3 linked regions of the Macaca fascicularis genome follow. The protein of the gene in region 1 purifies or fractionates together with the protein of each later gene. This does not show direct contact. Links are inferred from orthologs where the notes say so. Each region holds a gene or a part of one and is shown in the gene's direction. Other genes may lie near its edges. The genes, in order: PHLPP2, USP1 and USP12.

Region 1 (10,436 bases):
GAGGCAGGTGGATCACCTGAGTTCGGGAGTTCGAGACCAGCCTGACCAACATGGAGAAATCCCATCTCTACTAAAAATACAAAATTAGCTGGGCATGGTGGTGCATACCTGTAATTCCAGCTACTCGGGAGGCTGAGGCAGGAGAATCGCTTGAACCCAGGAGGCGGAGGTTGCAGTCAGCCAGGATTGTGCCATTGCACTCCAGCCTGGGAAACAAGAGCAAAAGTCCGTCTCAAAAAAAAGAAACTGAACTTATTCCCAAGATGGCAAATTATAATGATAGCAAATTATAATTTTTAATTTCCTTTCTAGGCCTTTCCTGAGTATGTAGTGAGTAAAATCATGGAATTCCACCAGATCTTTAACTTATTTATATATGCATAGTACAAAATGCTGTCAAAAATGTTTGCAGGTGCATTTTCCTCTGTACTATCTCTGGGAGGTAGGGCCTTAGAAGGAATTAAGACACAAAGAGATTTGACCCTTGAAGGAATTGAGATACAATGAGATTTAAATGACCTTCCCTCGACCGTAGTAGTCAGTGATAGATGGATGCATTCCATAACTTGTGTCCCAGTGCTTCTCGTTCTGCATATGTTCAGAACAGCCTTGGTGAACCACTTCAAATGTGCAGTTATTGATGATGGGACAGTGACCTCTAATGCCGTCACAAACCATTATTCCTATATGCCAAGGATAATTAGTCTTTCAACTTCAACATCATTTCTGCTCTTTAGCCTTTAAAGAGCAATAAAGTGTATTGTGATTTCCAAATTCTCTTTTTCTTCTAGCTGTCTTTGCAGGATTTTGTATAAGAGATTGTTATAGTATAAGGACATACCATCAAAACATGAATGACTTCTCTTTTTTTTTTGGAGATGGAGTCTTACTGTCACCCAGGCTGCAATACAGTGGTGCAGTCTTGGCTCACTGCAACCTTTGTTTCTCGCGTTCAAGCAGGTCTCCTGCCTCAGCCTCTGGAGTAGCTGGGATTACAGGTGTGTACCATCACGCCCAGCTAATCTTTGTATTTTTAGTAGAGACAGAGTTTCACCATGTTGACCAGGCTGGTCTCGAACTCCTGACCTCACATGATCTGCCCACCTTGGCCTCCCAAAGTGCTGGGATTATGGTGTGAGCCACCACGCCCAGCCATGAATGACTTTTCTAGTGATATATTGTTTCTTTTTTTAGATCAATTTTTATAACCCATATTATATTGGCATACTGTTATAGAACTACGAAGCTTGTTTTGATTTTATTATTTTATAGTTATATTGTGTTGGCTATAAAATCTGCTCTGAATAAAACTGGTCCCAGTTTTAAGTAGCTATTCTATTCTTCTGCCCTTTTAAAGAGAAGTTAATTTTTTTTAGTGTCTTTTGCGTGTTTAGCAGTGTGCTATGTGCTTGGTTATTTACTTTTATCCTCAAAGCAGTTGAAGAAACCTCTGATAAGTAGCAGAGCTAGTGTGGCTACAAAAGGCCATGTCTTTTCATATCACACTGCCTCTTAAAGTTTTGTCCAGTTATTTCGAATCATTTTAAGATAACTCCTTGCAGCTGAGCGCTGTGAATCAGGCCTATAATCCCAGCACCTTGGGAGGCCGAAGTGGGTGGATTAACTGAGGTCAGGAGTTCGAGACCAGCCTGGCCAACATGGTGAAACCGTCTCTACTAAAAATAAAAAAATTAGCCTGGCCTGGTGGCACATGCCTGTAATCACCGCTACTTGGGAGGCTGAGGCAGGAGAATTGCTTGAGCCCAGGAGATGGAGGATGCAGTAAGCCGAGATCATGCCACTGTACTCCAGCCTGGCTGACAGAGCAAGACTCGTATCTCAAACAAACAAACAAACAAACAAGAAGATTACTTCCTGCATGAAGTGTTAACTTTCCATCTTTAATGATACGTGTTTTTCTTTTTTTACCTTGTACTTATGGAGACTTTTAACTTGTACCCTTGTTTTTCAAGTAGCTTATGGTTTTAGGAAAAAGTAAAAATTAACTGGTATTTATAAATGAATAATTGGATCTTATTGCCTTTTTATTTTTTCCTGTCTTTTTAATTAGTGTCTTTTTGTGTAAATGCCATTCCATTCTTTGCTGGGTGATAGACATCCAGTACTAGCTCAGAAAGCTCTTCTCTTTGACGTTATTCAGGTGGTGTCTCAGCGAATCAGTACCGTGGATCTCTCGTGTTACAGCCTCGAGGAGGTTCCTGAGCATCTCTTCTATAGTCAAGATATTACCTACCTCAACTTGCGACACAACTTCATGCAGTTAGAAAGACCCGGAGGCCTCGACACACTCTACAAGTATGTGGAGAATGGGTTTCCAGACCTGTTAAAACCAACTCATAATCAGTATCTTATGACTTCTACCTGCTGCCATTGGATGTATATTCTAAAATTTCCCCTCCCTTTTCAAGAGGAAGTAAAAATTTTTATTCATGGAGTTCTCCTACCTGCCCTTTTCCCCCATAAAACAGAAGATTGATGTAAATGTTCTGTGAGCTTCTGTTGATCTGGGTGATCTTTTCATGTAAATCATTGACACTGATGCGTGATCTGCCTCCAAGTTACATCAAGAGATTTCGTATATGGGAAATTTTTGAATTAGAAGTATAAAATTTAAATAACGTAAAGGAGATAGGCCTAATTATAAGAATTTCACTCTGAGAGATAAAGCTGTATCTTCCCTTTGTACCTTCCACTGCCAACTCTTAAGCCTTTAGTCAGCTGTGATGCTTCTCTCTTCTAATACGGGAACCATTTTAGCCCTACAGTACTATGACCTACTTGTTATTCCATCTCCTTTATTAAAATATATACCCCATTCCCACCCTCCACTCATCCCACCTCACTCCTCCACTTAAAAATGGACGCAGTGAATAAATATGTGTTGTAAGTAATTGTCTGGGCTTCTGGAGGAGAAGGTAGAAATAGGAAATTAAAGCATTCAAAGTGATTTAAATTAGATGGTGACTAAAAAGATAATATACATTAAAATTACATATTTTACATCCTTCCTTAATAGCTAATAATTCTAGAGTAATATCCAGAAAATATTGTGTTTTGTTATCTCATCTGATAATTGTTTTAGAAAGTTTTTCAAGTGTAAGCCTCTACTTAGTAATGAGGTAGTTATTTTAATAATATTGGCTTGTAAAAATGAAAACAAGCAGTAATTTTAAGGAAGTTGGTTTCTAGCATTTCTTTGTGAGTTGCTATGAAAAAGAAGTAGTCCAGTTTGAGGGCTGGATCATAAATTCTGAATTTAAAGCACCAAGCCAAAGGAATAATTAGCAGTCACGGTTAGGTCATCTGAAAATCACAAGTTGAAAATTTGACAAAGAGAAGCATTAGAGTGAGGTATCTAGAAGCAGGTGATTCTTATGTAGAAGCAAGTGCTTGATCATCATCATGGAGAACATCTCAGCCTTACCATCTTGCACTTGTATAATAACAAAACATCCTACTCCCTAGTGGAATTACCAGAGTCTCTCATAAAAAGTTCTTACTAATGAAACCTTTAACATCTTAATTATAATACAATGGATATCAAGAAGAAACCCAAGAGATCCATTTTATAACAATGCCATCTCTGGGTAAGACAATACAGATACTTCTACTTCCATGAACAAAATAGAAGCTCTAAAAGTTACTATTTTGTGTATCAGGTCACATAATGGTAAAATGCTGTCACATTCATTATTTTCAAGCTCTAACTGGTTTATTCATTTTATGTGACATTTGAGCCAACATAATTTCAGTATGAAAAAAGAAGTTGCTTATTAAAAATGGGATTTGATCTACATATTTGTTAGCTGTTGCTCTATGAGTTGATTAATTCTTGCAAGGCTTTTGTGTATTACATGTAGAAATTTAATGAAAAATTTCAAGCATATCAAGTATGATGAAATACAAAAGAATTATACCAGCATGAGCTGTTCTTCAAGATTGTCTACCTTTTTAAAGAGAAAAGAGAGCTGTAATGCTAGACCTGGTTTCCTTCATCACATGGACTGTGCATTAGTCATCTTGGTGTCCTCTGTCCCCACTCAATGTTTGATGTGTAGCGAGTGCTCAATAAGTATTTTTGGAATAAATTCTATTATAGACATTTAAAATGGATTATCAAAGGCCATTGATGTCCCTCGTAAAGATATAGTAATAGATGTATTGAAATGCAGTATCCATTTTTGCCTTTGCTCTTTAGATTTTCTCAGCTGAAGGGCCTGAACTTGTCCCATAATAAACTTGGGTTGTTTCCTATATTATTATGTGAGATCTCTACCCTGACTGAGCTCAACCTTTCCTGTAATGGATTTCGTGACCTACCAAGTCAAATTGGCAATCTGCTAAAGTAAGTAACTTTTACTAGATTCATCTTTTCCCTTGCAGGATAAGGAACTTGCCTGGGGTTTGGAATGAAGGTAGTACTGTGAGCTCTTGCAGTGAAATAAATCATGTACTTACTAGGATTCTAGTCAGCAGCAGTTTTTGACATCATAGATCTACCTGCCTGTAGCAGGGACTGATCCCTCAGCTTCAACAGCAGAGGTCTTAACTCTTTTAATGTTGGGGTGACCATTTGTGTAAGTTATGTGTAAGTCATCTATTAAGTCTGTATAGATGGAGAGTTAGGACACTACTATTTTTGGATTGATAATTAGTGACATAAATCAGAATCCGTAACTCTGATTCTATGCATTCCAGTGAAACCTTCCATAAAGTAGACTTGTTTTGTTTTCTTCCTGTAGTCTTCAAACCCTCTGTCTTGATGGCAACTTTCTGACTACTTTACCTGAAGAACTGGGAAATCTACAACAGCTTTCCTCTTTGGGAATTTCGTTCAACAACTTTAGTCAAATTCCTGAGGTTTATGAGAAACTCACTATGTTAGATAAAGTGGTTATGGCAGGAAATTGCCTGGAAGTCCTGAACTTAGGGGTGCTGAATAGGATGAACCATATCAAGCATGTGGATTTAAGGTAAGGTTATTCTTTACCGCAGCTTCCTTTAAATTGACTCTGTTGGACCTTTATGTCTTCTCTTTATGAAGATTTGTTTAAGACATTAGGGTTTTTAAAATTTTGTTGTCGTTGTTTTGAGACAAGGTCTCACTTTGTCACTCAGGCTAGAATACAGTGGCACGATCTCAGCCCACTGCAGTCTTGACCTCCTGTTCTCAGGCGATTCTCCCACCTCAGCCTTCCAAGTAGTTGGGACTTCAGGTGCGCACCACTAGGCCTGGCTAATTTTTTTTCTATTTTTAGTAGAGACAGGGTTTCACCATGTTGTGCAGGCTGGTCTCAAATTCCTGGACTCGAGCAGTCCACCCACCTCAGCCTCCCAAAGTGCTGGGATTACAGGTGTGAGCTGCCATGCCTGGCCCGTAACATTAGGTGTTTTGAACAGTATAGAAATGTGTATTTTCAAAGGTATAGTAAGACTTTAGTTATCATTCAGTAGCAGAGAGATTCAGGATCATGTAGTTGTACCATGTGATAGAGACTATCAAATTGCCTTGGACAGAGGTTGTTTTTGCTCACCTTCCCATCAATGTATATTTTTTATTTTTTAAATTTTTTGTAGAGATGGAGTCTCACTGTGTTGCCCAAGCTGGTCTTGAACTCCCTGGCTCAAGTAATCCTCCTGCCTTGGCCTCCTAAAGTGTTGGGATTACAGGTGTAAGCCACTGTGCCCAACCCCTCCAACATTGTAGGAGAATTCCCATTTTCTCATATCTTTGTCAGTGTTGGATTTTAGCATTTCTTTTTCTTTATCATCAGTCTAGTAGATTGAAACAAGTATTTCATTGTTTTAATCAACATTTATTTACAGAGCAGTGAGGTTGAACATCTTTTTATATGTATGTTAGTAGTTTGTAGATTTCCATAAATGACATTTTTCTGTTGAGTCATTAGGTTTCTTCTTGATATCCATTGTATTACAATTAAAATGTTAAAGGTTTCATTACTAAGAACCTTTTATGAGGGTTTTATTTTCTAGTCATAACCTTTTCCTAATTGAAGCTGGTAAAAAGACACCTATTGGGTGTTCTGTAATTTACAGTAAACCATTGATGACCTTGTAAAGACAGTAACAGAGAGTTTTTGTTTTTGTTTTTTTAACCACACTGGAGACTTGAGAGATTTATAGAAATACAGGAAAGTGAGAACAGACCTGCATAAATTAAATCATATACTTGTACAGAAAAGAACTCAGAGGTCATTTTGTATAATTTACCTTTGAACTCTTCGGTATATGTGTGTGTGTGTGTATATATGTGTGTGTGTATATGTATATATACATACACAGATTATTTCCTTGTCTGTTAATTAATTTTATGTGAACCTTAGCACTAGAGATAGAGCAGGCATAGCAATAGGAGGAAGTATGGTTCTATCCTTATACTCTGGACATGGTACTGTTGTGACTGTTTTGCTACTGTCTCACTCAAAAGGTTGTGTTCATCTTCCTGTTCCTTTGTCCTACTTAGTGCCCACCTGACCTTATTAGGTGTTTGGATATAAGTGTTTAACTTGTTCAGGATATGGCCTCTTTTTTCCTTCTCTTTATTAGTTTGTATATGTATTTGCCAATCTGGATTGTCTGACTTAGCTGTACCTTGAGTTATTCATCAACTGTAGTTATTTATATAGTATCTTGCAAAATGAGGCAAGTAGTGAAATTCTTAAATTGTTTAGGAAACAGAGAAAGGGAGCTGGGCACGGTGGCTGACACCTGTAATCCCAGCATTTTGGGAGGCCGAGGTGGGCAGATCATCTGAGGGTAGGAGTTCAAGCCTGGCCAACATGGTAAAACCCCATCCCTACTAAAAATACAAAAAATTAGCTGGGCATGGTGGGGGTGCCTCTAATCCCAGCAACTTGGGTGGCTGAGGCAGGAGAATCACTTGAACCCGGGAGGCGGAGGTTGCAGTGAACCAAGATCACGCCATCGCACTCCAACCTGGGCAACACAGCGAAACTCCATCTCAAAACAAAAAGAAAAGGAAACGGAGAAAGGGATCATGCCTGTCCTATTTTTTATTCTGGTAAGCACATTTAATAGACTCTTGTTTCTGATTATTTTCTTGTTTCTGCATATTAAGGATGAACCATTTGAAAACCATGGTTATTGAAAATCTGGAGGGAAATAAACACATCACCCACGTGGATCTGCGGGACAACCGACTGACTGACTTGGATCTTAGCTCCTTATGCAGCTTGGAACAGCTGCATTGTGAGCGGAACCAGCTGAGGGAGCTAACACTCAGTGGCTTCTCCCTTCGGACCCTCTATGCCAGTTCCAACAGTGAGTTTTCTATCCAGCCTTTTGTTTTTTCTCTTTCAGCTGTTGTCAGTGCTTTTTAAGAACAGTGGCATCTGTGGTGTTCCTCAGCCACTCTGCAGGATGGGGTTTGTGGCTCATTGAGGCAAAACTTTATCTTTTCACTTTGCTGTCAATACTTAAGTGGTTGCAGTGTGCATAAAAAGACATGGCAGGTTACTTTGAGCTTTACTAATTGAGCATAATAAGAGGCATTCCACAGAGTAGTGGTGGTGGGGAGGTGGGCAAGCATGTTCAAAACAGAGCATCAATAATGGTCTAAAACGGGTTGGCAAACTATACCCCAGGACTGCATCTGGCCTGCCACCTCTTTTTGTATGGCCCATAAGGAATGGTTTTTACATTTTTCTAATGGCTGGGTTAAAAAAAAAGTCAAAAGGAGAATTTTGTGACTGAGCATGGGGGCTCACGCCTGTAATCCCAGCACTTTGGGAGGCCGAGGTGGGCTGATCACCTGAACTCATGAGTTTGAGATTAGCCTGGGCAACATGGCGAAACCCCATCTCTGCAAAAAATACAAAAATTAGCCAGCATGGTGGCATACCTATGCTCCTAGCTACTCGGGAGGCTGGGGTGGGAGGATCACTTGAACCTGGAAGGCAGATGTTACAGTGAGCTGAGATCATGCATGCCATGTGTGTTCTCATTAGAGAACTGGGTGAGACTTGTGAGACCCCATCTCAAAAAAAGAAAGAAGAATAATTTTGTGACATGTGAAAATTACTATGAAATTCAAGTTTCTATGTTTCTAAATGAAGTTTTACTGGAATGCAGCCACAGTGGTTTGTTTGCATATTATTTATACATTCTTGCTCTTGTGCTACAGCGGCAGAGTTGAATAGTAGTAAGAGAGACTGTCATATGGTCCACAAAGCCTAAAATGTTTACTGTTCAGCCTTTTACAGAACAAGTTTGCCAATTCGTGATTTAAAAGCTTGTGTAGCCTCAGTGCTAGAATGAGAAGCCCCTGATTTCAATAGTGATTTGCCCTAAGAATATTTTTCAATGAAAAGGTCCTCATATTTGTTGAGGCCATTCTTTTTATGGAAAGTTCTTTACCATTCTTTACTTTCAGTATGTGTTTAAGGAAGGAAAGGAAAATAGGTTAAATTTTACTGTCAGAAAAAGTGCAAATTTAAATAACGTTTTATACTCATCAAATTTTTTTAAAAAAAGGTAATTCTGAGTGTTTCCGGAGGTGAGGAGAAGCATCTTTCTGAGCACTCACACACTGCCAGTGAGAGGTGACTGGTAAAACCACCCCAGAAAGCAACGTGACAGTGTTAGAGATGTCGAGACCCACACATACCATATTCTAGAAGTTCCCTGCTTGGGATATATCCCAGAGACACTCACATGTGCAAAGGAGATATATACCAGATTGTTTATCACTTTTTGTGAGCACGAAAAAGTAGAATTTTGAGATGGAGTCTAGCTCTGTTGCCCAGGCTGGAGTGCAGTTGCCTGATCTTGGCTCACTGCAACCTCTGCCGCCCAGTTTCACGTGATTCTCTTCTCTTAGCCTCCTGAGTAGCTGGGATTACAGGAGTGTGCCACCATGCCCGTCTAATTCTTATGTTTTTAGTAGAGACACGGTTTCACCATATTGGCCATGCTGTTCTTGAACTCTTAACCTCCAGTTAGCTGCCCACCTCAGCCTCCCAAAGGGTTGGGATTACAGGCGTGAGCCATTGCACCTGGCCTAAAAGTAGGATTTTTAATAGGAAAATGGGTAAATCAGTAGTGATATATTTATGCAATAGAATATTGCACAGCAATGGAAATGAATGTACTAAAGCCTTGTATGGTAATATGGATAAATTGCAAACTTTTTTTTGAGCAAGGAAAAGTACATAATTAAATGTATGTTGTGATAGTTATATCAAAATTTAAAACACAGAAATACTGTTTTCTTAGCTAAAAGTATGCCATTAGTATGAAAGAATACATAAGAGTGATGAAAACCATATTCAGGATGATGTTTACCTCTTGGTATGTGTGGTATTTTAATTATTTAAAAAAAAAAAGTCTGGGCTGGGCACGGTGGCTCACGCCTGTAATCCCAGCACTTTGGGAGGCCGAGGTGGACGGATCACCTGGTGGATCAGGAGTTCAAGACCAGCCTGGCTAACATGGTGAAACCCTGTCTCTACTAAAAATAGAAAAGATTAGCCAGGCGTGATGGCGCGTGCCTGTAATACCAGCTACTTGGGAGGCTGAGGCAGGAGAACTGCTTGAACCTGGGAGGTGGAGGTTGCAGTGAGCCAAGATTGCACCACTGCACTCCAGCCTGGGCAACAAGAGCAAAGCTCAGTCTCAAAAAAGAAAAAAAAAAAAGGTCTACAGCATATAAAGCAGAATGTAGATTTGTTAAAAGCTATATGATAGGTGAAAGAGGGTTCATTATTTTATTCTCTTTATTTTTCTATATCTGTAAACTAGATTATACAGATAAAAGTTGAGGACTTCTATTTGCATTGCCTTTTATTATGTTATAGAAGCTTCAAATTATAGCTTAGATTAATTGCTTGGTCAGAAGAGTGTTAAAACTGGTGAGTGTTGACTTATGCTGTTTATAGATGCCTGACATTGTAGTAAGTCCTAGCCGTGGAGATTTTTGTTATCAGGCCCATCCCTATCCTTAATGTGTCTAAAGAGTCTGAATTCCAGGCCGGGCGCGGTGGCTCAAGCCTGTAATCCCAGCACTTTGGGAGGCTGAGACGGGCAGATCACGAGGTCAGGAGATCGAGACCATCCTGGCTAACATGGTGAAACCCCGTCTCTACTAAAAAAATACAAAAAACTAGGCGGTCGCCTGTAGTCCCAGCTACTCCGGAGGCTGAGGCAGCGTAAACCCGGGAGGCGGAGCTTGCAGTGAGCTGAGATCCAGCCACTGCACTCCAGCCCAGGCAACAGAGTGAGTTTCCGTCTCAAAAAAAAAAAAAAAAAAGAAAAAAAAGAGTCTGAATTCCTGGCCTTACTGGAAAAGACCTCATCAACAGGCATGCAGTCCCAAATATTTACTCTTTGTAAATATTTAAGTATTGACAAATAAATTAAGTATTTTAATAGTATTT
Region 2 (10,436 bases), on another chromosome or scaffold:
TGCTTCTTTTCAAAACACCAAGCGCATTAAGCTTCAGGACGTCTGTAACTTGCTGTTCTCTCTGCCCGCACCATTCTTCCCCCAGATTCCTCCAAGGCTCGCTCAGCTTTCATTCAGCTCTGCTCAAATGTCAACTCAAAGAGATCTTTCCAGGCTATTGTACCCATCACTTATTTTAGTGTCACTTATGTCTCCGTCTCCAGAATGTAATGCTCCTTTATGACAGGGAATGCCTTTCATCCCTCGCGCCTTGAAAAATGCCTGGCACATAGTAGGCACCTTAAAAATACTTGATTTAAATGGATCTGGGCTGAACGTATCCTGCTTAATTGCAGCACTTGACCTGAGGTCACCTCATCAGAGCAAGCACACAAACACAAAAGGAAGCACAACCAGATGAGGCCTGCCTGCCGCTCCTGAACTCTTTGGGAGGGCTCGCGCGGGAACCCTGGGAAGCTCCCGCGGCCGGAGCTGGGCCTGAAACTGTTCTTTCGTTTCCTCCTGCGGCCGAGAAGGGGAGGGGTAAACAGGAGAAAATGAGGCGAGTAGGGGCTGAGGAGTGGGCCTCAGCTCTACAGCATTCGCCTGAGAATGTATCGTTATCCGTGGCAGCGCCTTGTCTCATTGGATGGCCCTAGGCCTAGTGTGGCCGCGACTCCAAACCGAAAGCCCGGGTGAAGCCCCGGCATGCAGCCAGGCAGCCATTTTCCGGAGCGGCTCTCTCGGTCACCCCGCCCGGGCGCGTACGCACGAAGGGAGGCGGGGCTTGCCGCGAGGGCCTCGCTCCGGAAGCCGCACCCTCCGCGGCGTCCCACCGTCGAGGATTAACAAAACGCCAAACAAGATTTCAACAGTCGGCAGCGAAAGCGCGCACTCGAGCGCCAATGAGAGCGGAAGGAGGGGCGCCGTGCCTGAGGAACACTCCGTATGTCGAACAATGATTGGCTGGAGCCCACCTTTCTTCTTTTTTGCTATTAGAGGGACTTGCTGCTCCCGCCCTTCTAATTGGCTTTGGTCTAGGTACTTCTGATTGGTTTCCCCCGGGCGGTGGGAGGCGCGGTTTTGGGGATTGTTCATCATGGATTGGTGAATTTGGGCTCCTTCTCTAGGCGGTGGCCCGTCCCGTCTGCTCTCTGTCCCGTCTCCCGACCCGTACGCGTTTCCCTCAACTCGCGCGCACGAATGGTTAAAAAAAGGGTGTGAGGCTCGAGCCCGCCAGCCAGGCCGCTAGCACCTCGCGCGCGCCCTTAGCGAGGACCCGCACGAGCTGCCCGGCTCTCTGCCTGCGCTGTTTGAAACTGTGGAACCCGTTAGGCTCTTGGGGAGCTACAGTCCCAGCTGGCTCTGGAGCCCGTGCGTGCCGGGGGCGAGTGACCGTCGCGAGACGGCTCCTGCCTTTCGCGTCTCTGCAGCGTGGAGACTGGAACCGGCAATTTCAAAGGACGCCACGTTCAATCGCAGCGCTGGCGCGGGCGGAGGCTAAAACACGGGGGTCCTGAGACTGAGGAAAACGCGCCAAGTTCCCCTCGGTGGCGGAGTGCGAAAGACCCTAGCGGTTCAGGCGCTCGGCGAGCGGGGCTGCTGCTTGTTGCGCTCCTGGCTATCCCGGGGCGGGCGCGGATAGGCGCCGCTCCGGGGATGTAGTTGGTGCCGGTGCAAGGCGGGACCGAGCGGCGGTCGGGGTTCCCGCTCTTGGGAGCGGATGGTCACTCCCCCGCGGGGAGGGTGATCCGACCAGATTTTCCTGGGGCCGGGGGGACCCGGCGGACTCGGAACAGGGACTCACCTGTCGCACCCACACTCATTCGGGTTGGACTTGCCGGCGTCACTGCCGCGGACCTCGCTTTGGGCCATGACCAGGTAAGGAGGGCCTGGGAGGAGGGGCCGGCGCCCCGGCGCGGGGGCAAGTTCGGCCGGCGCGGGAGAGGAGCTGCCGGGGAGACCCCCGGGACCGTGTTGGCCTCGCACCCTGGTCGAGCTGCCAGCGGGAGCCTTGTGTGCCTCGGGCGGGGCGCCTGTCTTGCCGCCGCCGGGACGCGAGAAGGCAGGTGCGGGCTGGGCGTAAATAGGCCAACTCCGCGGCGAGGGCGCCCGGCGCGGGGGTGTGGGCCGAGAACGCCGCCGCCAGCCTCCCCCGGCCCGGCAGCCTAGTCGCTGCTGGTTCTTCCAGCTTCCTTTCCGTTCCCGAGAGCGGTGAAGGTTGGGGAGAAAGAAACGTTTCCACGCAGGTTGCCCTGGATCGGTCAGTAATTGCGAAATTTTACCGCGCATTTTCTTTCACTTACACTTTTTCCAGAAGTGTTTAGAACGCCGCGTCTTAAACCTTGGCGAAGATGTCCTTGTATATTTTTCTTGAAAAATCGGAATCGAGTCGTGTCATCTCAAAAAGAATTTAAAACTGTTGGGACTGAGTATTCACGCTGTCAACAGATAATGGTCGTTTCGTCGTGCTTTCTGCGAAAGTTGACTTAGTTACAGGAGAAATATTTTGCATGTAACAGCCCCCCCCAGTTATAAGGAAAGCCAGGAGCAAGAAATAATAGCACGGAAGATACTGCACCTGGCAAAATGTTACATTCTCGGTGTGAACATTGCTTTGAGGGACTAGGAGGTTTGGTTTGTTGATTAAGCTGACGATCCGCTATTTCACCTGCCTAATCATTCTTCCCTCCTGTGAAGTCTGGTTACTCTGTCGGTTTGAGATCCAGTTTCTGTCATCCATTAGAATTGGCTCTCGAGAAAAACATTTTATCAGAATCATTAATGCTTGGCGATCCCTGAGAACTTAGCGTAGGTTAGTTTGTCATTTAGAAGACAGCGCTTCCTCAGAAGCATTAGGTGAAGCATTAGGTGGATAGGAGAGTAAGTGAAGTTGGAGACAGAATGGGGAGATTGATCAGCTTTTCCAGTTCTTCCTGACTTGGGTCTTAAAAATGGTTTCAGTGCTGAGTTTAGTGTGAATTCCTAGATCAGTGTCAGCCACGTGAAATGCTTATTAAGGATGGAATTTGAGTGAGTTTTGTGTAGTTCATTTTATTACTCTGCATTTTAAATTTGAAACTCGTTGCTGAAGTTTTGGGCTTTAAGTAATTTTATTATGGTAATACTCTAGTTAGATAATTTTTCCTCACATGTCCTGAAAAATAGGACTGATGTAGAAAATATTAGTAACTCCTACAAATGTTGCCATATTTTTTCCTGTGAAAGTTTTGCTTTAAAACAGGGTGGGAAAGTTGCAAATGGCAAACCAAATCATCTTTTTTCCTACTCAAAGCACTATTTTTGGAATCCTAAGTTTTAAAAAAAGTTTGGAAAACGAGTATTGTGATTTCTGGCTCATTAAGAATTGGATTTACACAAAGTGCATCCAACAGTGTTTTGTATCACTGTCTCAACTTTGCATGTGTTTTATTATTGAAAGATAATAAAACTTTACGGTTTTAGGTATATCTTAACACCATCTCTATGCCTTGAATGCAAATTATACTTTAATAAACTTTTTAGGTACTTTATTTTCATGTATTCATGTTAATAACTAGAAAAGGCATTGGAAGAGAGGACTCATTATCGTCCAGCACTACTTTGATTTTCCATTCATCCTTTCCATGTACTTGAGAATTAGAGGTGATAGTGCTCAATTTTTCTGAATGAATTATTATAATGAAATATTAAGTTTTTACTACTTACACTACTTTACTGTAGGTCTGCTAAATAGGATATTTTGTAATGCGACCCTTAATCCATAGCAGACTGATTTTAAAAATTCAGTAGCTTCTATTTTTTGTTCTTTAAGAATAGTGTGGTAAGCTTTTTCATTTAAGCAATAAATATTGAGTGCCTATTGGCAGGCATTAGGTTTTCAAATATTAATTTCTAATTTGTACCATTCCCTTGGTAAATTTGTTTTCAAAATTGATGATTTTGTTGCCTAAAACTGATAACCGAAAACTAATGAAATTTTTTCTCTGTGATTAACAGATATAATTGATTACAACTTTCCTCTATAAATTAATTATTGACAACTCCTTGGGATTTGAGAAAAAAATGCCTGGTGTCATACCTAGTGAAAGTAATGGACTTTCAAGAGGTAGCCCATCAAAGAAAAACAGACTTTCCTTAAAGTTTTTTCAGAAAAAGGAAACTAAGAGAGCTTTGGATTTCACAGATTCTCAAGAAAATGAAGAAAAAGCTTCTGAATATAGAGCATCTGAAATGTATGTATCTTACATTTCTGTACTTTAAAAATTCTACAGTGAAGCAGCAGTGAACTTGGTTGACACCTCCACTCTGACTTGATAGTCTATAGAGGCACAAAAAAGTACACTTCAGTGTACTTCTTAATAAGTCAAGTCTAGCCGTTTATAGTAGGAACAGCAAAACTGGTGGTTCCCCATAGGGATCACATCCATAATGTTTAACTCATGAACACTGTGCTCAGCCATGTAGACTAACTTGGAGAAATATTCATAGATTAAAATTGTCTTTCTGAGTTTAAATTTATTTGTCGTGCAAAACATTTGTGTAGGGGTAAAAGGTTATATATATATGTATATATATTTGTTTGGTTCAGAAGACTTGACGGTTATAAGACATTTTAAACTGTAGTCATGTGACTAGTCATACCTGTTGGAGGCATACGATTGCAAATTATAGAAATAAACTTAAAAATAAGTAATGCTTTTGATGCAAATAAATTCTTTAGCTACAGAAAATAAATCAGAACAAAGTGAAATACTTTATTCCACCACCAGCAGCTCTAGCTGGAGTCTGTACTGCTTCCCTGTTTAACATATAGTCACTCTGCTGGGTGACTAAGGTGGATTTGGTCCCATGTGTTAATTTCCAATAGCTATCAATAACCAGTTGAGGAGATTGTTTGAGAGTGAACCTTTTGTTTATCAGCATTCATACTTCTAAATACTTTGAGGTGCTGGAGTAATAATAGCTAGCAATTGTAAAATAAAATACTGGGAAGACCTAGTGGGTTTTTTTTTGTTGTTAAAGAAGTAAAAGAATAATAATGTATTTATTTTTTGAGACGGGGTCTCCTTGTGTTGCCCAGGCTGGTCTTGAACTCCTGGGCTCAAGCAGTCCTCTAAAGTAGCTGGGATTACATCTCAGTGCCACCACACTCACCTTCTGAACATTTTATTTTTAAGTGAGAGATAGCTAAATAATTTTTTTTTTTTTTGAGACAGTCTTGCTCTGTCGCCCAGGCTGGAGTGCAGTGGCCGGATCTCAGCTCACTGCAAGCTCCGCCTCCCGAGTTTACCCCATTCTCCTGCCTCAGCCTCCCGGGTAGCTGGGACTACAGCTGTCCGCCACCTCTCCCGGCTAGTTTTTTGTATTTTTTAGTAGAGACGGGGTTTCACCGTGTTAGCCAGGATGGTCTCGATCTCCTGACCTCGTGATCCGCCCGTCTCCGCCTCCCAAAGTGCTGGGATTACAGGCTTGAGCCACCGCGCCCGGCCATATAATTTTCTTCATAGACTTTCTTTTCCTTGAATTCTTATTAATATAATCTTTCTTAGTTCAGCCTCTCCCAAATATTGCCATGGTTAATTTATTCCCAGGTTTCTGTTCAGTTACACTACTTGATTAAAATGTCAAAGTAGGTAAAACAAATCACAGTCTCTCAGTTCCTCAATTTTTTGCTCTGTAAAATAGGATTAACATCCTTTTAAGGGAATTGTTCTGTGGCTTGGTATGTGTAATAATGTTTTAAAAACTTTCATTCTGGGCATATAGCAGTTTTTGAGCCTGTATTTCTTAAAATGTCATCTGAACAAGATTCACATACTTTTCAGATTATACAACTTTTGGGAAAAGACTAAATCTATGGAAGTAATATTTTCACCTTGTTTCTTTGAGATAACTACTTGATTATCTTTTCCCCCTTCTATATTTAATAGTGATCAAGTTGTTCCTGCAGCACAGTCTTCACCTATAAACTGTGAGAAGAGAGAAAACTTGTTACCATTTGTGGGACTGAATAATCTCGGCAATACTTGCTATCTTAATAGTATACTTCAGGTAAATTGACAGTTTTGCTATATAACAAAACTTTAGTAGGCAAAGAATAATGTAACATTTAATGTTTCTGAGTTATTGGAGGACTTTAATGTCCATACTGTCTTTGCCTTTGATTGTAAATGAACCAGAACAGGCTAAAATAATACGTTGCATGTTGTTAAACTTGCTTTGGGATAAGAGAAAGTGATAGACTAAATAAAGGTGGGATAGCAAAATTGAGTAGACCTTAAGTGGAAGTTCAAACCTTTAATTTCTTTCTCTGATTGCTGGTGCTACAGTAATACGTATCTTATCCCTTGGAAATAACGTTGGCTTTGTGTTGTGTGTTCTTGTAACCTTAAAGTCTTAGCAATATCTGCCCAGACTCAGTGCTTTGTGCCAGTGAGGGAATACACTGGGCTACTACTGATGAAGTGGAGAACAAATTTTGACACAAAACTTAATCTCAGAATTTTAGGTACTACACATTAAAAGGGCCTATAGAAAGCATGATGTTGTTTTAATGATTTTACGTATATTGTTCAGTGAACACTTAGACAGTCTCACTTTTTATAGGTATTATATTTTTGTCCCGGTTTTAAATCTGGAGTAAAGCACTTATTTAATGTTATTTCAAGGAAGAAAGAAGCTCTAAAGGATGAAGCCAATCAAAAAGACAAGGTAAGAACAGTAACAGAAAATAATGTAAAAAGCAAAAGTAAATTAATGGAAATTTACTTGCCTGGAAATGAAGAGACTGCGGGGGTGGGTGACAAAGATTATTTCTCTGTTAACGAACTATTGTCAGGCAATTATTTTTCATTCTTTCAAGGTAGCTAACTAGATAATTCCCTTTTACAGATTGTTTGCTCCTGTAATATGTGTATCAAACTTTTGTTACTTGTATACTATACATTATTGTGTACTATAATCACAATATGTCACACCCATGTACAACCTATTTACCCATTGTGTTTTCAAATTGACTTAAAATTTAAGTAACTACACAGTATTTAAAGAAATCTTTGACTTCCATAATTAAAAAACCATTGTAAGTCACATAAATAGTAATTCAAAAATTCCTCTTAAAATTACAAAAAAAGACGAGGCGTGGTGGCTCATGCCTCTAATCCCAGCAGTTTGGGAGGTGAGGGTGGGTGATGGATCGCTTGAGTGCAAGATTTTGAGACCAGCCTGGGTAACATGGCAAAACCCTGTCTCTACTAAAGATATGAAAACTAGTAGGGCGTGGTGGTGTGAGCTTGTAGTTCCAGCTAATTGGGAGGCTGAGGTGGAGGATTGCTTGATCTCAGGAGGTTGAGGCTCCAGTGAGCTGCGATCAAGCCACTGCATTCCAGCCTGGGTGACAGAGACCCTGTCTCAAAAAAATAAAAAATAAGGCTTATTTGTATATCCTTTAAAATTAGTGCTATAATGCAACTTAGAAAACCTAGTATTCTTAAGTGAGACACAGACAAAGGGGGAAGGTACTTAATTTGTTCATAAAATTATTGGTTTGTGTGTTTCTTTCTTGACAGGGAAATTGCAAAGAAGATTCTTTGGCAAGTTATGAATTGATATGCAGTTTACAGTCCTTAATCATTTCGGTTGAACAGCTCCAAGCTAGTTTTCTCTTAAATCCAGAGAAATATACTGATGAACTTGCCACTCAGCCAAGGCGACTGCTTAACACACTCAGGTATAGCCTATAATATAATTTTAGGGTTTCAATTTAACTACTTGTTTATATCCTTGGAGGAGAATGGTATGTGAAGAAACAGGAATAAAAGGGCAAGGAAAGTAGAAACTATAGGTCCACAGTCCTTTGTATCTCAGAGGCTCTGAATACTGGAAATTTTTTTCATATATTTGGTGCTAAATTTGTTAGATTTGAATATATTATATGAGGCTTTTTATAGTCATTCATATTTATCTCTAATGTGAATATTCATACATTCTTCTATAGAAGTAGTAATGTATTTAATTATAGAGTACTCCCATATCATGTCGGTGATAAATATTTTACTTATATGCCATATTATCATTGCATCTGAAAATGTCTGAATTTCTAAATGTGTGGTCCTAAGGATTTCACATTAGGAATTATAGGACTATATTCAAAATATGTGTAAGAACTGTAAATTCTAAATATTCTATTTTTGTTATATGGGATTAGAGAACTGTTGGCTAACTGGATTAGATTGCTTTTTGGTATTTTCTTAAAAATGAAACAATATATAAAATAGCCTTATTCAAATAAAATTATACTAATAGGGCAAGTCTTTAAAACAATCACTTAAGCATTCAGTTTAAAAATAGAACTAGGTGCAATTTATTGCTATACCTTAATTAAGAGGTATTGTAGGCCAGTCACAGCCCACACTTGTAATCCCAGCACTTTGGGAGGCTAAGGTATGTGGGTCATTTGAGGTCAGGAGTTCAAGACCAGTGTGGCCAACATGGTGAAACCCCGCCCCTACTGAAAATACAAAAATTAGCTGGTCGTGGTAGTTCGCACCTGTAGTCCCAGCTACTCAGGAGACAGAGGCAGGAGAATCGCTTGAACCCGGGAGGAAGAGGTTGCAGTGAGCCAAGATTGTGCCACTGCACTCCAGCCTGGGCAACAGAGCAAGACTCTTGTCCAAAAAAAAAAAAAAAAAGCTATTGTAGCGTGGTGGCCAAGAGCGTGCTGATTTGAATACTGGCTTTTCATCCTAAGTAGTTCTGTGATCTTGGGCAAGTTAATTAACCTCTCTGTGCCTTAGTACCTATATCTGTAAATAGTGGGGATAATAGTACCTCATAGGGTTATTGTGAAGATAATGTATACATAGATAAAAAAACATTTTGACTAAAACCTGGTATATGGTAAGCATTATCTAAGTATTAGTTATTATATTTAGAAGAGGATCAAGGTATTATAATGAAAGTAGGGTACAAGTTACTCTTTTAGTTACAGGTAAGAAATTCCAAATTAGTGCTGAATAAATGTCTTGAGATTTAAAAAATGAAATAATTTATGATTTTCCTTACATGAATTAATTTCTATATAGATTTTATGTACTGTATCTTCAAAACTAGAATAGATGAAATGGAAATTTTTATTTATAGGGAACTCAACCCTATGTATGAAGGCTATCTACAGCATGATGCACAGGAAGTATTACAGTGTATTTTGGGAAACATTCAAGAAACATGCCAACTCCTAAAAAAAGAAGAAGTAAAAAATGTGGCAGAATTACCTACTAAGGTAGAAGAAATACCTCATCAGAAAGAGGAAATGAGTGGTATTAACAGCATGGAGATGGACAGTGTGAGGCATTCTGAAGACTGTAAAGAAAAACTCCCAAAAGGAAATGGGAAAAGAAAAAGTGACACTGAATTTGGTAACATGAAGAAAAAAGTTAAAGTATCCAAGGAACACCAGTCATTGGAAGAGAACCAGAGACAAACTAGATCAAAAAGAAAAGCTACAAGTGATACATTAGAGATTCCTCCTAAAATAATTCCCAAGTGTATTTCTGAAAATGAGAGTCCAAGACCCTCACAAAAGAAATCAAGAGTTAAAATAAATTGGTTAAAGTCTGCAACTAAGCAACCCAGCATTCTTTCTAAATTCTGTAGTCTGGGAAAAATAACAACAAACCAAGGAGCCAAAGGACAATCTAAAGAAAATGAATATGATCCTGAAGAGGACTTGGGGAAGTATGAAAATGATAACACAACTCATGCTTGTGGATTTGAATCTCCAGGAAATACTGTTACACCTGTGAATGTTAATGAAGTTAAACCCATAAACAAAGGTTAGTATAATTCTTAGACTTTGATAGGTAGGAGCATATAATCTCTGACTAAAATTGTTTCAAGAGAAGGAAATTTAACACTGAATGTGAACTATGGTGTTTGAAGTGCTATGCTTAGGTTAGTGTGTGTGTATAGTATTACGTGTGTGTGTGTGTGTGTGTGTGTGTAATGTCATTAAAGTAATTTTAATTTACAGCTTATAAAGTAGGGAAGTTTGGCTGGGTATGTTAACTCGCACCTGTAATCCCAGCACTTTGGGAGGCCGAGGCGGGCAGATCATCTGAGGTCAGGAGTTCAAGACCAGCCTGGTCAACATGGTGAAACCCCATCTCTACTAAAAATACAAAAAGTAGCCAGGCATGGTAGCGCACGCCTGTAGTCCCAGCTACTCGGGAGGCTGAGGCAGGAGACTTGCCTGAACCCAGGAGGTGGAGCCAAGATTGTGCCACTGCACTCCAGCCTGGGGTGACAGAGCAAGACTCTGTCTCAAAAAAATACATAAAGTAGGGAAGTTCAGTATATTTTAATGTACATTTAAGAATACATTTCCCTTTATGCAATGTTTGACATAAACTGAAGAAGGACGTTGCATTTAGTGAAATTTTTAAAGTACAGACTAA
Region 3 (10,977 bases), on another chromosome or scaffold:
AGTTAACAAGGCCCTCTGCAGACGTTACTGGATATTGATAGAGAAGGCTGGATTGAATAGGTGTGGCCTAGTTGAGGAATGAAATTTAATGGTAGAACACTTGTAAAACACCAGAATTATATGCGTGATGCAAATGAAATGGTGTTTGAAAAATCCTGTTTTCTTCCTGACATTTTTGGGAACAGCCTGTGTTTAATATGGGCTCTGAAATATAATGTCATGGTAACTTTTAGAAATGGGATGGTAGATATGCCCTTGTAATTTAGTAATTGATGCATTGTTTTTTGAACTACCAAAGTGAGGATTTTAAAAGTATTCAATTATTTAGGTTTAACTGTATGTACTCTTAAAGAAAAATGTGATGTCTGATTTCCTTAGAAATGGTAGTTTCTTTAAATTTTGCAATTTTGGAAGTTTAAGAAAAACCAAACCACTTACTATTTTTAAAAGTGCAAAGTTGTGTGAGTTTAAAAAATTCATTTCTTACAAGGAGGAGGGGCCACCCTTTCCCAAGAAGCGATTGCTAGAAAGAGTTGGGATATGTGTGTGTGTTTATTGCCAGACATTACCTGTGCATATACAAACGAGGTATTGTGTGTGTGTCACATGCACACACAGTATTTAAAACTGCAGGTTTATTTGTTTTACTTGATCTTTCACTTAACATATAGTGTACATTTTTGGTTGTCATCATGTTTCATTCCATGTCAAAACTCTTGTGTGCATTTTAATTTCCCATGATCTTCAGTGTCTATCATATTGAAAAGTTTGGTTGTATAATACTGTTTGCACATTTTCATTTTATTAAACAATAATTTTATTGGTTTCCTAGGGCTGCCATAACAAAGTACCAGAAACTGTGTGTGTGGATTATAATACTATATTGTTACTGTACCTTTTCTATGTTTAGATGTGTTTAGAGACACGAATACTTATCGTTGTGTTACAGTTACCTCCAGGATCCAGTACAGTCGTATGCTCTACAGGTTTGTGGCCGAGGAGTAAGAGGCTAGACCACATAGCTTAAGTGTGTAGTGGGCTATACTATCTAGGTTTGCGTGAGTACACTCTGTGATACACGCACCGTGATGAAATTGCCTGACAATCAATTTCTCAGAATGTATCCCTGTCATTAAGTGATGCATGCCTGTAACATAAATTCATCATCTTACAATTCTATAGGCTAGAAGTCCAGAATCAGGATGTCGACAGGGTTGGCTTCTTCTGAGGGCTGTGAGGAGACTCTTCCATTGTCTGTCCCCGCTGCTGGTGGTTTGCTGGCGTGCGGATGCATCATTCCAATCTGTTCACATGGCTTTCTCCCTGTGTCTCTGTCTCCACCTTGTCTTCCTTCTATGCCTATCGGTGTCCGAATTTTCCCTTTTTACACAGGCACCAGTCACACTGGATTAAGATGCACCCTAGTGACTTCATTGTAACTTGATTACTTCTGTAAAGACCCTATTTCAAAATAAGGTCACATTCTGAGATACTGGGGCTTAAGACTTAAATGTATCTTTATTAGGGAACACAATTCACCCAGTAAAACTAATGGCACAATCGGGTCCATTGCAATCAATGTCAAGGAGTATTCATTAAGTTGGGTTATGTGCTAGACACTAGAGATGCAAAACTGTTTAAGTTCCAAAGGGCTGGCCGTCTAGTTGGGGTGACCAACTTTGTGTATAATAATGTAGGCTGATACAAACTTGATAAGCTGTATTTTGATGTGTACAGGGAAGACAGACTGGTATTTGGAGTGAGGCCTGGATCAGCTGGAGAAGGAAGGCTTTTGGGAGTGGTGGGGAGGGAAGCTTCGTGGAATTTGAAAGGTAACTTGGAGAAAAATGAAGAGGACAGAGGACCTGGCAAGGAAGCGAGAAGTGAATTAAAACAACAAGAAAGAAAGAAATAAGGTTAAGTGATTAAAATTACTTACATGGTTTAATGTTTCAGGAATTTTGTCCTCAAACTTGTTAAGTTGATTAGGTTTATATAGATTTAGGCAAAAATCTCCTATAAACTTGTGGTAGTTTTTTTTTAAAAAAGGCATGTATATGTTGTTAAAAATCACATTTGTAGCTTACAGAACTCATTTTTGCTAAAAATGAGCTAATGAAAAGCACTTCTGATGCAGCAGGTAAAGGAAAGTGGGAGAGATCGTACCTAGAACATCCACTTTTCTTTTTCCCAAAGTAATGATGGGGAATTATGTACACCTCTATATAATGACGGGATTAGGTATACCTCTGTATGATCTTAGGTCCATTTCAACTACAGCGTTCTGTTTTGTAGCTTAATGTCTCTAAAACTTGTCAAGCAAAAAGGGATCAGAAGTGGTTTTCTAGAAAATTTATTGAAAAAGCCTGGGCGACAGAATGAGACTGTCTCAAAAAAAAAAAAGAAAAAAGAAAAAGAAAATTTATTGGAAAAAAAAAAAACCAAGAAAACATGATTACTTTAGCGAAAATAACTGTTACACAGAATATTTTTTGTAACATACCTGCTGTGAAGAAACCTCACCAATGTCAGTATTTACATTTCAGATTACTTTGTTATTATTAGTTCATTTTTTCCAAACAAAAACTGTAAAATCTATGAGGTGGGCCTGTAGGGAGGAGTAGTCTGTTTTACAGCTAAGGAAATGAACAGACTCCGGTGACTTGATTTTAGGATTCTGCCTGAGACCTCTCCATATTTAGTTTAGTGCTTTTGCCGCCGGATCATGCTGTTACTAATGTAGCTGTAGATGCTTCTTCCCCCTAAAGACAACCACAAAATCATTTTCTGTCTCTCTCTCTCTCTTTTTTTTCTTTTTTTTTGAGACGGAATTTTGTTCTGTCACCCAGGCTGGAGTGCAGTGGCGTGATCTTGGCTCACTGCAGCCTCCACCTCCCAGGTTCAAGCAGTTCTCCCTGCCGTAGCCTCCCGAGTAGCTGGGATTACAGGCGCCTGCCACCATGCCTGGCCAATTTTTGTATTTTTTTAGTAGAGACGGGGTTTTGCCACGTTGGCCAGGCTAGTCTCAAACTTCTGACCTCAGGTGATCCGCCCGTCGTGGTTTCCCAGAGTGCTGGGATTACAGGCATGAGCCACTGCCCCCAGCCTCTCTCTTTCTTAATACTCATAAATATCCAATCATTGTTGAAATTAGCTGATTGTCTCAAATGATCGTGGTTGGATCCATAATGTTCGTTATGTTTTGTCACTATATCTCTTAAATGTGGATCCCTCTTTCTTTTTTATTACAGTTTATCTTTTGAGGAAATCAGATTGTCCCATAGCTTTTTTTCATTTTCTGCACTTTGCTGATTGCATCCCCTTTGTGATGTTTAACGTGTTCTTCCATCCTGTATGTTTTCTGTAATTTGGTAGATCAAGAGGCCTGATCCAGATTCCTTGATCTTTTATTTTTTTTATTTTTTATTTTCCTTGCAGAAGTTGGTGTACAAGTGGTGGTGGAAAAACATAGGTGATGTGTACTTCCGGGTTGCAGGGGAATGTGGTGTCTCTTTATAATGATGAGGCTGGCATTGTCAGAACGACTCTTCTGTTATGGAGCTGCTGGCAGCTTTTTACCTAATGATTTTTAGCAACTGTTGATAATCATTGCGTAGATCCAGTGTTTCATTAGGGCTTCAGAATATAGTTTTAACTGCTTCTATAGGTTTTTTTAAGAAATATTTTTAAAAACATTGAAAGAGAATGTACATCTATTCTTTGTTGTATTTGAAGCTACACAGAAATAAACTTTTTACATTTTCAGAATATTTTCATAGTTGTATTCCCAAAATCATACATTTAGGCAGGCTAAAGTTTACAGATTAAGTTGAACCTTTTCCACACCTAGACTTAATTTTGTGATATTACAAGTGAATGAGTACATGAAGTTCTAACACATTTTTGCATCTGAACTATAATTAATAAGATTTAGCTGATTATACACTAAAACTTAACTAAGTAGTTTTTCTTTTGTTTTCCATTTTTTAATATGTTCCACCTCAGGGTTATATATTTACTGCTGCTATGCTTTAAAAAAAGCAACTTCAAATTCTTAAGCACAGGATTCTGAAAATTAGATGAACTAACCAGATACAGTTACTTTAATTTTCAGATTTTAGGGATATTAGAGTGCATTTATTTCTATTTGTTTTTCTATTTATAATGTTTAAAATGGACCAATTTGTGTGTGCATTAGTTTCCAATGAGGCTGTAACATATCACCATAAGTTTAGTGGCTTAAAATCACACAAATTTATTATTCTAAAGTTGTGGAGGTTGCCGGACGCAGTGGCTCACGCCTGTAGTCCCAGCACTTTGGGAGGCCGAGGCGGGTGGATCACAAGGTCAGAAGATCGAGGGCATCCTGGCCAACATGGTGAAACCCCATCTCTACTAAAAATACAGAGAATTAGCTGGGCATGGTGGCCTGTGCCTATTGTCCCAGGTACTTGGGAGCCTGAGGCAGGAGAATTGCTTGAACCTGGGAGGTGGAGGTTGCAATGAGCCATGATTGCGCCATTGCACTCCAGCCTGGGCGACAGAGCGAGACTCTGTTTAAAAGAAAAAAAAAAGGTTGTGTGGGTCTGGCTGGGCTGAGACCAAGGTCTTGGCTGGACTGTGTTCTTTCCTGGAGCTGCAGGAGGGACTGCTGCTTTGCCTTTGCCACCTGGACGCGGCCCTTGCCTTTTGGATCCTGGCCCCTGCAGCATCTTCAAAGCCAGCCATGACTGGCCAGTCTTTCTTTCATTACCTCCCTCAGACAGGGACTGTCCTGCTTCCCTCTTTCACTTACAAGACCCGTGTGATTACATAGGGCTGACCTGGGTAATCTGGGATAATCTCTCAAGGTCGTTTGATTTTAGCAACCTTAATTCCTTCTGCAACTTGAATTCACAGGTTCTGGGGATTAGGATGTGGACGTTTTGAGGGAGGCAGTTATTTTTCTACTACCACAATATGCACATTTTTTTTAGCTTTAAAAAATATATTAGAGGTGAAAATCAATTCGAGATATGCCTTTAATGCATTTTGGGTTGTGGTGAAAGATTGGGAAGAAGTTGAGTGGGTTTGTAAACATATACCTTTTGTACTAAGTGAACATTAAGAGGTGGTTATCTGTTCTAGTTTTGGAAGTAAAAGAATTTTTACTTCAGGTACTGTTAGCACACTACCAATCTCAGCAGGAGAAAAGTAAAGATGCAGTGGAACATTCAGGAAAATTAGCTACCAATACTTTTACAACTTTTGATGAGTAAATATAGGCTTGGTAGCATGAGAGGTTATGAAAATGGATGAAATGAATAAAAGCTGTACTACATGGCCTTGCTCAACAGAGCATATGTAAAATGTATTTTAGGATTTTAAGATTAGATCAGAACCTTTTATATTTACAGTATAGTAATTTAAATGATGGTTGGGCTTCATTAAAAGATAATCTTGGAGGTTTGGAGAGAAGGCCTTAGGCTGTGTGCTTCCTAAGAAAGAAAGGGCAGAAAAGGGCAACTGTGACATTTTCTTAGGCAAAGTGGAAAGATGTGGAAATTTCTGTGGGTGATATTAGTAGAATTTTAGTAGAGTGAAATAGATTTTTAATGGTTAAAGATAGTATCAGAAGAAGCTCTAATTTGAGGATTGCCAGATCTCAAAATATTTTTGTTTTGAAGTTTATTAAACGACTGCCATAATTAGATTTGATACCTCAGTAAACTTACGAGAAATAGGATGAAACATAGAACCTGGACTTCTAGGGACTTCGTTTTTCTCATTTTGCTTGTAAGTCTGAAGAAAACCAACAGAGCAAGAGAGGCTAAGAAAAGAGACATGGTAAGGAGACAGAAAAGAATAATGAGTGAATATTGGTGTATGGGCTGTGCTGGGTTAACTATTAAGTATGAGTGATTCTTACTCTTAAGGAAGATACGTCTTTTTGGGGAAATGAGCCTTACATGCACATCCAACAGAACAGTATCAGAAAAGTGGGTGTATGAGCTCCATGAGGGTGATTTGTGGAAGGGGAAAGGTTGAACATTTCATTCTCAAGTACTAGCAGGATCTGTAACTCTAATGTACCGATTAATGGATTATAGCACAGCTTTTTATTGTTACAGAAGTGACATATCCACTCTTGCCATTCCCATTTTTGGAGTTTATTGTTACTAGATTTCATAGTACTTGAAACTGGAAAATATTTCTATTTCATTACTATGTTTTTGTATGCATATGTATATATGTTTTATCTTAAAAACAAAATTTATATTGAAGATGTTAAAAGTGAATTTGAGTTTTGGACCTTAAGCTTTATTTATTTACTTATTTTTTTCTGAGACAGAGTCTCATTCTGTTGCCCAGGCTGGGGTGCAGTGGCATGATCTTGGCTCACTGCAACCTCTGCCTCCTGGGTTCGGGTGACGCTCCTGCCTCAGCCTCCCAAGTAGCTGAGATTACAGGTGCCTGCCACCACACCTGGCTAATTTTTGTATTTTTTAGTAGAAAGAGGGTTTCACCATGTTGGCCAGGCTAGTCTCGAACTCCTGACCTCAGGTGATCAGCCTGCCTCAGCCTCTCAGAGTGCTGGCATTATAGGTGTGAGCCACCACGCCTGGCCAGGACACTGAGCTTTAAATGTCAGATATAAACAATTCATCAAAAGAGACTCCAAGTTGAGACGGAGTCTTGCTCTGTCACCCAGGCTGGAGTGCAGTGGTGTGATCTTGGCTCATTGTAAGCTCTGCCTCCTGGGTTCACACTATTCTCCTGCCTCAGCCTCCTGAGTAGCTGGGACTACAGGCGACCGCCACCATGCCCTGGCCAATTTTTTGTATTTTTAGTAGAGACGGGGTTTCACCGTGTTAGCCAGGATGGTCTCAGTCTCCTAACCTGGCGATCCGCCTGCCTCAGCCTCCCAAAGTGCTGGGAATACAGGCGTGAGCCGCCGCACCTGGCACAAACTCTTTTTTCATAAAACAGCTTTATTGAGATATAATTCACATACCATACTAGTCATCCATTTAAAGTGTACAATTTAGTGGCTTTTAGTATATTGATAGAGTTTTGCATTTATCACCACAGTCAGTTTTAATCACCTGAAAGATACTTTATACCCTTTAGCTATCATCTCTCTCCTCCTCCTTTTCTTTCCCTCCCCCTTCCAGCCCTAGGCAAACCAACCACTGATTGACTTTATGTGTTTATATAATTTTCTGCTTTGGACTTTAGTATATGGAATCATAGAGTATATGGTTTTTGGCACTGTTTTCAAGGTTCGTTTATGTTGTGATATGTATTAGTAAAAACTCTGAAAACTACAAAATATTGCTAAAAGAAATTAAAGGAAATCTAAACACAGAAAAAAAATACCATGTTCACAGACTGGAAGACTTTAACACTTAAAATGGTAATACTCCACAAACTGATCTACAGGCTCGATGACATCCTCATCATGGCTTTTAATGGACAAATACTGTTCCATTGTGTGGATATACTACATTTGTTTATTTGTTCATTAATGGACATTTTGGCCATTTCTACCTTATGGCTATTTTGAATAATACTAATGTAAACATTGGGGGTGCAAGCTTTTTATGCACATATGTTTTGTTTTCCCATGTGTCTGTACTTTGGAGTGGAATTGCCATTTAATCTTTTGAGGATCTGCCAGATTGTTTTCCAAAGATGCACCATTTTATGTTCCTGCCAACAGTGTATGGCTGTTCCCATTTCTCTGCATCCCCATTGGTACTTGTTATCTGACTTTCTGATTGTAGCCATTCCATTTTGGGTGTGAGGTGGTATCTCATCTCATTGTGGTTTTGATTTGCATTTCCCTGATGAATAATGATGTTGAGCACCTCTTTATGTACTTATTGGCGATTTGTGTATCTTCTGTGGAAAAATATCTATTTGCATTCTTTGGCTGTTCTTTGAGTTGTCTTTTAATTGTTGTAAGAGTTTTTTTTGTTGTTGTTTTGTTTTTGTTTTTTCAAGACAGGATCTTGCTGTGTTACTCAGGCTGGAGTGTAGTGACATGATCATCCCTTGCCACTCCAGTTCTCAAGTCATCCTCCCACCTCAGCTTCCGGAGTAGCTAGGAGTACAGGTGCATACCCCTATACCTGGCTAATTTTTTACTTTTCGTAGAGATGGGTTCTTGCTATGTTTTGCCCAGGCTGGTCTTGAACTCCTGGCCCTTGGGATCCTCTTGCCTAGTCCTCCCAAAGCACTGGAATTACAGGCATTAGCCACCCTGCCTGGCCTTGGTGTAAGAGTTCGTTATATATTCTGGATACAAGTTTCTTGTTAGTTATGTCATTTGCTAATATTTCCTCCCATTCTATGGGTTGTCTTTTCATTTTCTTGAGGGTGCCATTTGAAGCACAAAATTTAATTTTGATTTTGATGAAGTCTAATTTATCTAATTTTTTTTTCTCTTTTCCTTTTTTTTTTGGAGGCAGAGTCTTACTGTGTCACTGGATATTGGCTCACGGCCACCTCCACTTCCTGTGTTCAAACAGTTGTGCCTCAGACTCCCGAGTAGCTGGGATTACAGTTGCGTGCCACCATGTCCAGCTGATTTTTTTGTATTTTTAGTAGAGATGGGGTTTCGCCATGTTGTCCAGGGTGGTCTTGAACTCTTGGCCTCAAATGATCTGCCCACCTCGACCTCCCAAAGAGCTGGGATTACAGGTGTGAGCCACAACGTCTGGCCTGAGTTTTTTCTTTTGTTGTTCATGCTTTCGGTGTCATATTCATATTTTATAATCCTTTGCCAAATCCCATGTCAATCCTTTGCCAAATCCAATGTTTTTCTTTTAAGAGTTTTCTGGGTGTTGCTGTTCATATACTTCTTTGATCTATTTGGAGTTAGTTTTTTGTACATGGTTTGAGGTAAAGGTAACTTCATTCTTTTGTATGTGACTGTCCATTTGTCCCAGCGCCAGTTGTTAAAAAGACTATTCTTTCTCTGTCGTTTGGAGTTGGCACCCTTGTTGAAAATCATTTGACCATAGATGTATGAGTTTCTGGATCCTCAATTTTATTTCATTGATTTGTATGTTTGCCTCTCTGCCAGTACCACACTGTCATGATTGCAATCATAGCTCATTGCATCTCGTACTCCTGGACTTAAGTGATCATTACACAGGTGAGCCACTGGGTCCGACCTCCATATGAATTTAGAATCAGCTTGTCAGTTTCCATAAAAGTAGCTGGGATTCTGATGGGGATCTCACTGAGCCTGTAGATCAGTTTGTGGAGTATTGCCATTTTAAGTGTTAAAGTCTTCCAGTCTGTGAACATGGTATTTTTTTTCTGTTGTTTAAATTTCCTATAATTTCTTTTAGTAATATTTTGTAGTTTTCAGAGTTTTGAAACTCTGAAATGTTTTTCTCTTTTATATGTCTTTCTCTTTTTTTGTTAAATTGATTCCTACTTATTTAAATCATTTTGAATGCTATTGTGAATGGAGTTGTCTTATTTTCATTTTCAGATTTTCAGGATAACCTTATATAAATGCAGTTAATTTTTTGCTTTTATTATTTTAAATTGACATAATTGTACATATTTGTGGGATATAGTGTGATATTTTGATACATGTATACAATGTGTAATGATCAAATTGGGAAATTAGCATATCCATCACTTCAAACATTGATCATTTCTTTGTGCTGGGAATATTCAAAATCTGCTCCTCTATCTATCTGAAAATATACAATAAATTGTTGTTAATTATGGTCACCCTGCAGTGCTATAGAACAGGGATCTCCAGCCCCTGATCAGTGGCCTGTTAGGAATGGGGCTATGCATCAGAAGGTGAGTGTCCAGTGAGCAGCATTACTGCCTGAGCTTCGCCTCCTGTCAGATCAGCAGTGGCATTAGATTGTCAGGATTGTGAACCCTGTTATGAACCGCGCATGCGAGAGATCTAGGTTGCACACTCCTTATGATAATCTAATGCCTGATGATCTGAGAACAGGTTCCTCCTGAAACCATCCCCCGCTAGTCCATGGAAAAATTGTCTTCCACAAAACTGGTTCCTCATGCCAGAAAGATTGGGGACTGTTGCTGTGGAACACTAGAACTTACTCCTCCTATCCAGCTGTAATTTTGTATTCATTAACCAACCCTTGGCTACTCCTCCCACCCCCCACATCTCCAGCCTCTACTCTAGTAACCACTATTCTACTCCATAGTTTTATGAGATCAATACAATTGATTGCTGTGTATTAATTTTAGAACCTGCAACCTTGCTGAACTCATTTATTCTAGTAGTAATTTTTTAGTGGATTCTTTAGGGTTTTCTGTATATGAGATCATGTTACATACAAATAAAGATAGGTTTACTTCTTCCTTTCAAATTTGGTTGCCTGTTTTTCCAACTGCTCTGGCTAGAACCTATGGTACAGTATTGAATAGAAATTAACAAGAGGGAATTTTCTTGTCTTTTTCCTAATCTTAGGGGAAAAGCATCCAGTGTTTTCACTGTTAAGTAAGATATTAGCTGTGAATTTTTTATAGATACCTTTTGTCAGATTGAGGAGCTCCTTTCCTCTTTTATTTTCTTAATTCCGTCAGTTAACCTTTTCTTTTGTTAAGAGGGTATTGCTCTGTTGCCCAGGTGAAGTGCAGTGCTGTGATTTTGTCTTACCGCAACCCCTGCCTTCCGGGTGAAAGCGATTCTTCCATTTCAGTCCCCTGAGTAGCTGGGACTACAGGCGTGTGCCACCACGCCTGGCTAATATTTTGTATTTTTGGTGGAGATGGGGTCTTGTCATGTTGCCCAGGCTGGTCTTGAACTCCTGAGCTCAATTGATCTGCCCTCCTCAGCGTCCCAAAGCATTGGGATTACAGACATGAACCATTGTATTCTGCCCGTAAATACAATTTTTACTGTATTCAGAGAGGAATTCTTTTCTATTTCTGTCATGTTGAGTGTTTTATCATGACAAGGTGTTGGATTTTGTCACTTGATTTGTGTGT

What was found.
Region 2: the proteins of PHLPP2 (region 1) and USP1 purify together in Homo sapiens (affinity purification with mass spectrometry; 3 studies listed by BioGRID and IntAct, with this or other methods). This does not show direct contact. The link is inferred for Macaca fascicularis from reciprocal best matches to the Homo sapiens genes PHLPP2 and USP1.
Region 3: the proteins of PHLPP2 (region 1) and USP12 purify together in Homo sapiens (affinity purification with mass spectrometry; 3 studies listed by BioGRID and IntAct, with this or other methods). This does not show direct contact. The link is inferred for Macaca fascicularis from reciprocal best matches to the Homo sapiens genes PHLPP2 and USP12.

The regions. Positions count from the first base shown.
Region 1 is NC_088394.1:68,689,138-68,699,573, forward strand, and holds part of PHLPP2 (PH domain leucine-rich repeat-containing protein phosphatase 2), read left to right. Parts: intron 1-2,161; coding exon 2,162-2,316; intron 2,317-4,219; coding exon 4,220-4,366; intron 4,367-4,763; coding exon 4,764-4,994; intron 4,995-7,120; coding exon 7,121-7,323; intron 7,324-10,436. UniProt on the Homo sapiens protein: Protein phosphatase involved in regulation of Akt and PKC signaling.
Region 2 is NC_088375.1:172,259,111-172,269,546, reverse strand, and holds the start of USP1 (ubiquitin carboxyl-terminal hydrolase 1), read left to right. Parts: upstream 1-761; 5' UTR 762-1,020; intron 1,021-1,453; exon of another isoform or gene 1,454-1,860; intron 1,861-3,978; 5' UTR 3,979-4,044; coding exon 4,045-4,214; intron 4,215-5,912; coding exon 5,913-6,033; intron 6,034-6,588; coding exon 6,589-6,693; intron 6,694-7,550; coding exon 7,551-7,711; intron 7,712-9,123; coding exon 9,124-9,815; intron 9,816-10,436. UniProt on the Homo sapiens protein: Negative regulator of DNA damage repair which specifically deubiquitinates monoubiquitinated FANCD2. Also involved in PCNA-mediated translesion synthesis (TLS) by deubiquitinating monoubiquitinated PCNA.
Region 3 is NC_088391.1:7,176,120-7,187,096, reverse strand, and holds the start of USP12 (ubiquitin carboxyl-terminal hydrolase 12), read left to right. Parts: upstream 1-5,596; 5' UTR 5,597-5,724; coding exon 5,725-5,826; intron 5,827-10,977. UniProt on the Homo sapiens protein: Deubiquitinating enzyme that plays various roles in the regulation of the immune response and inflammation.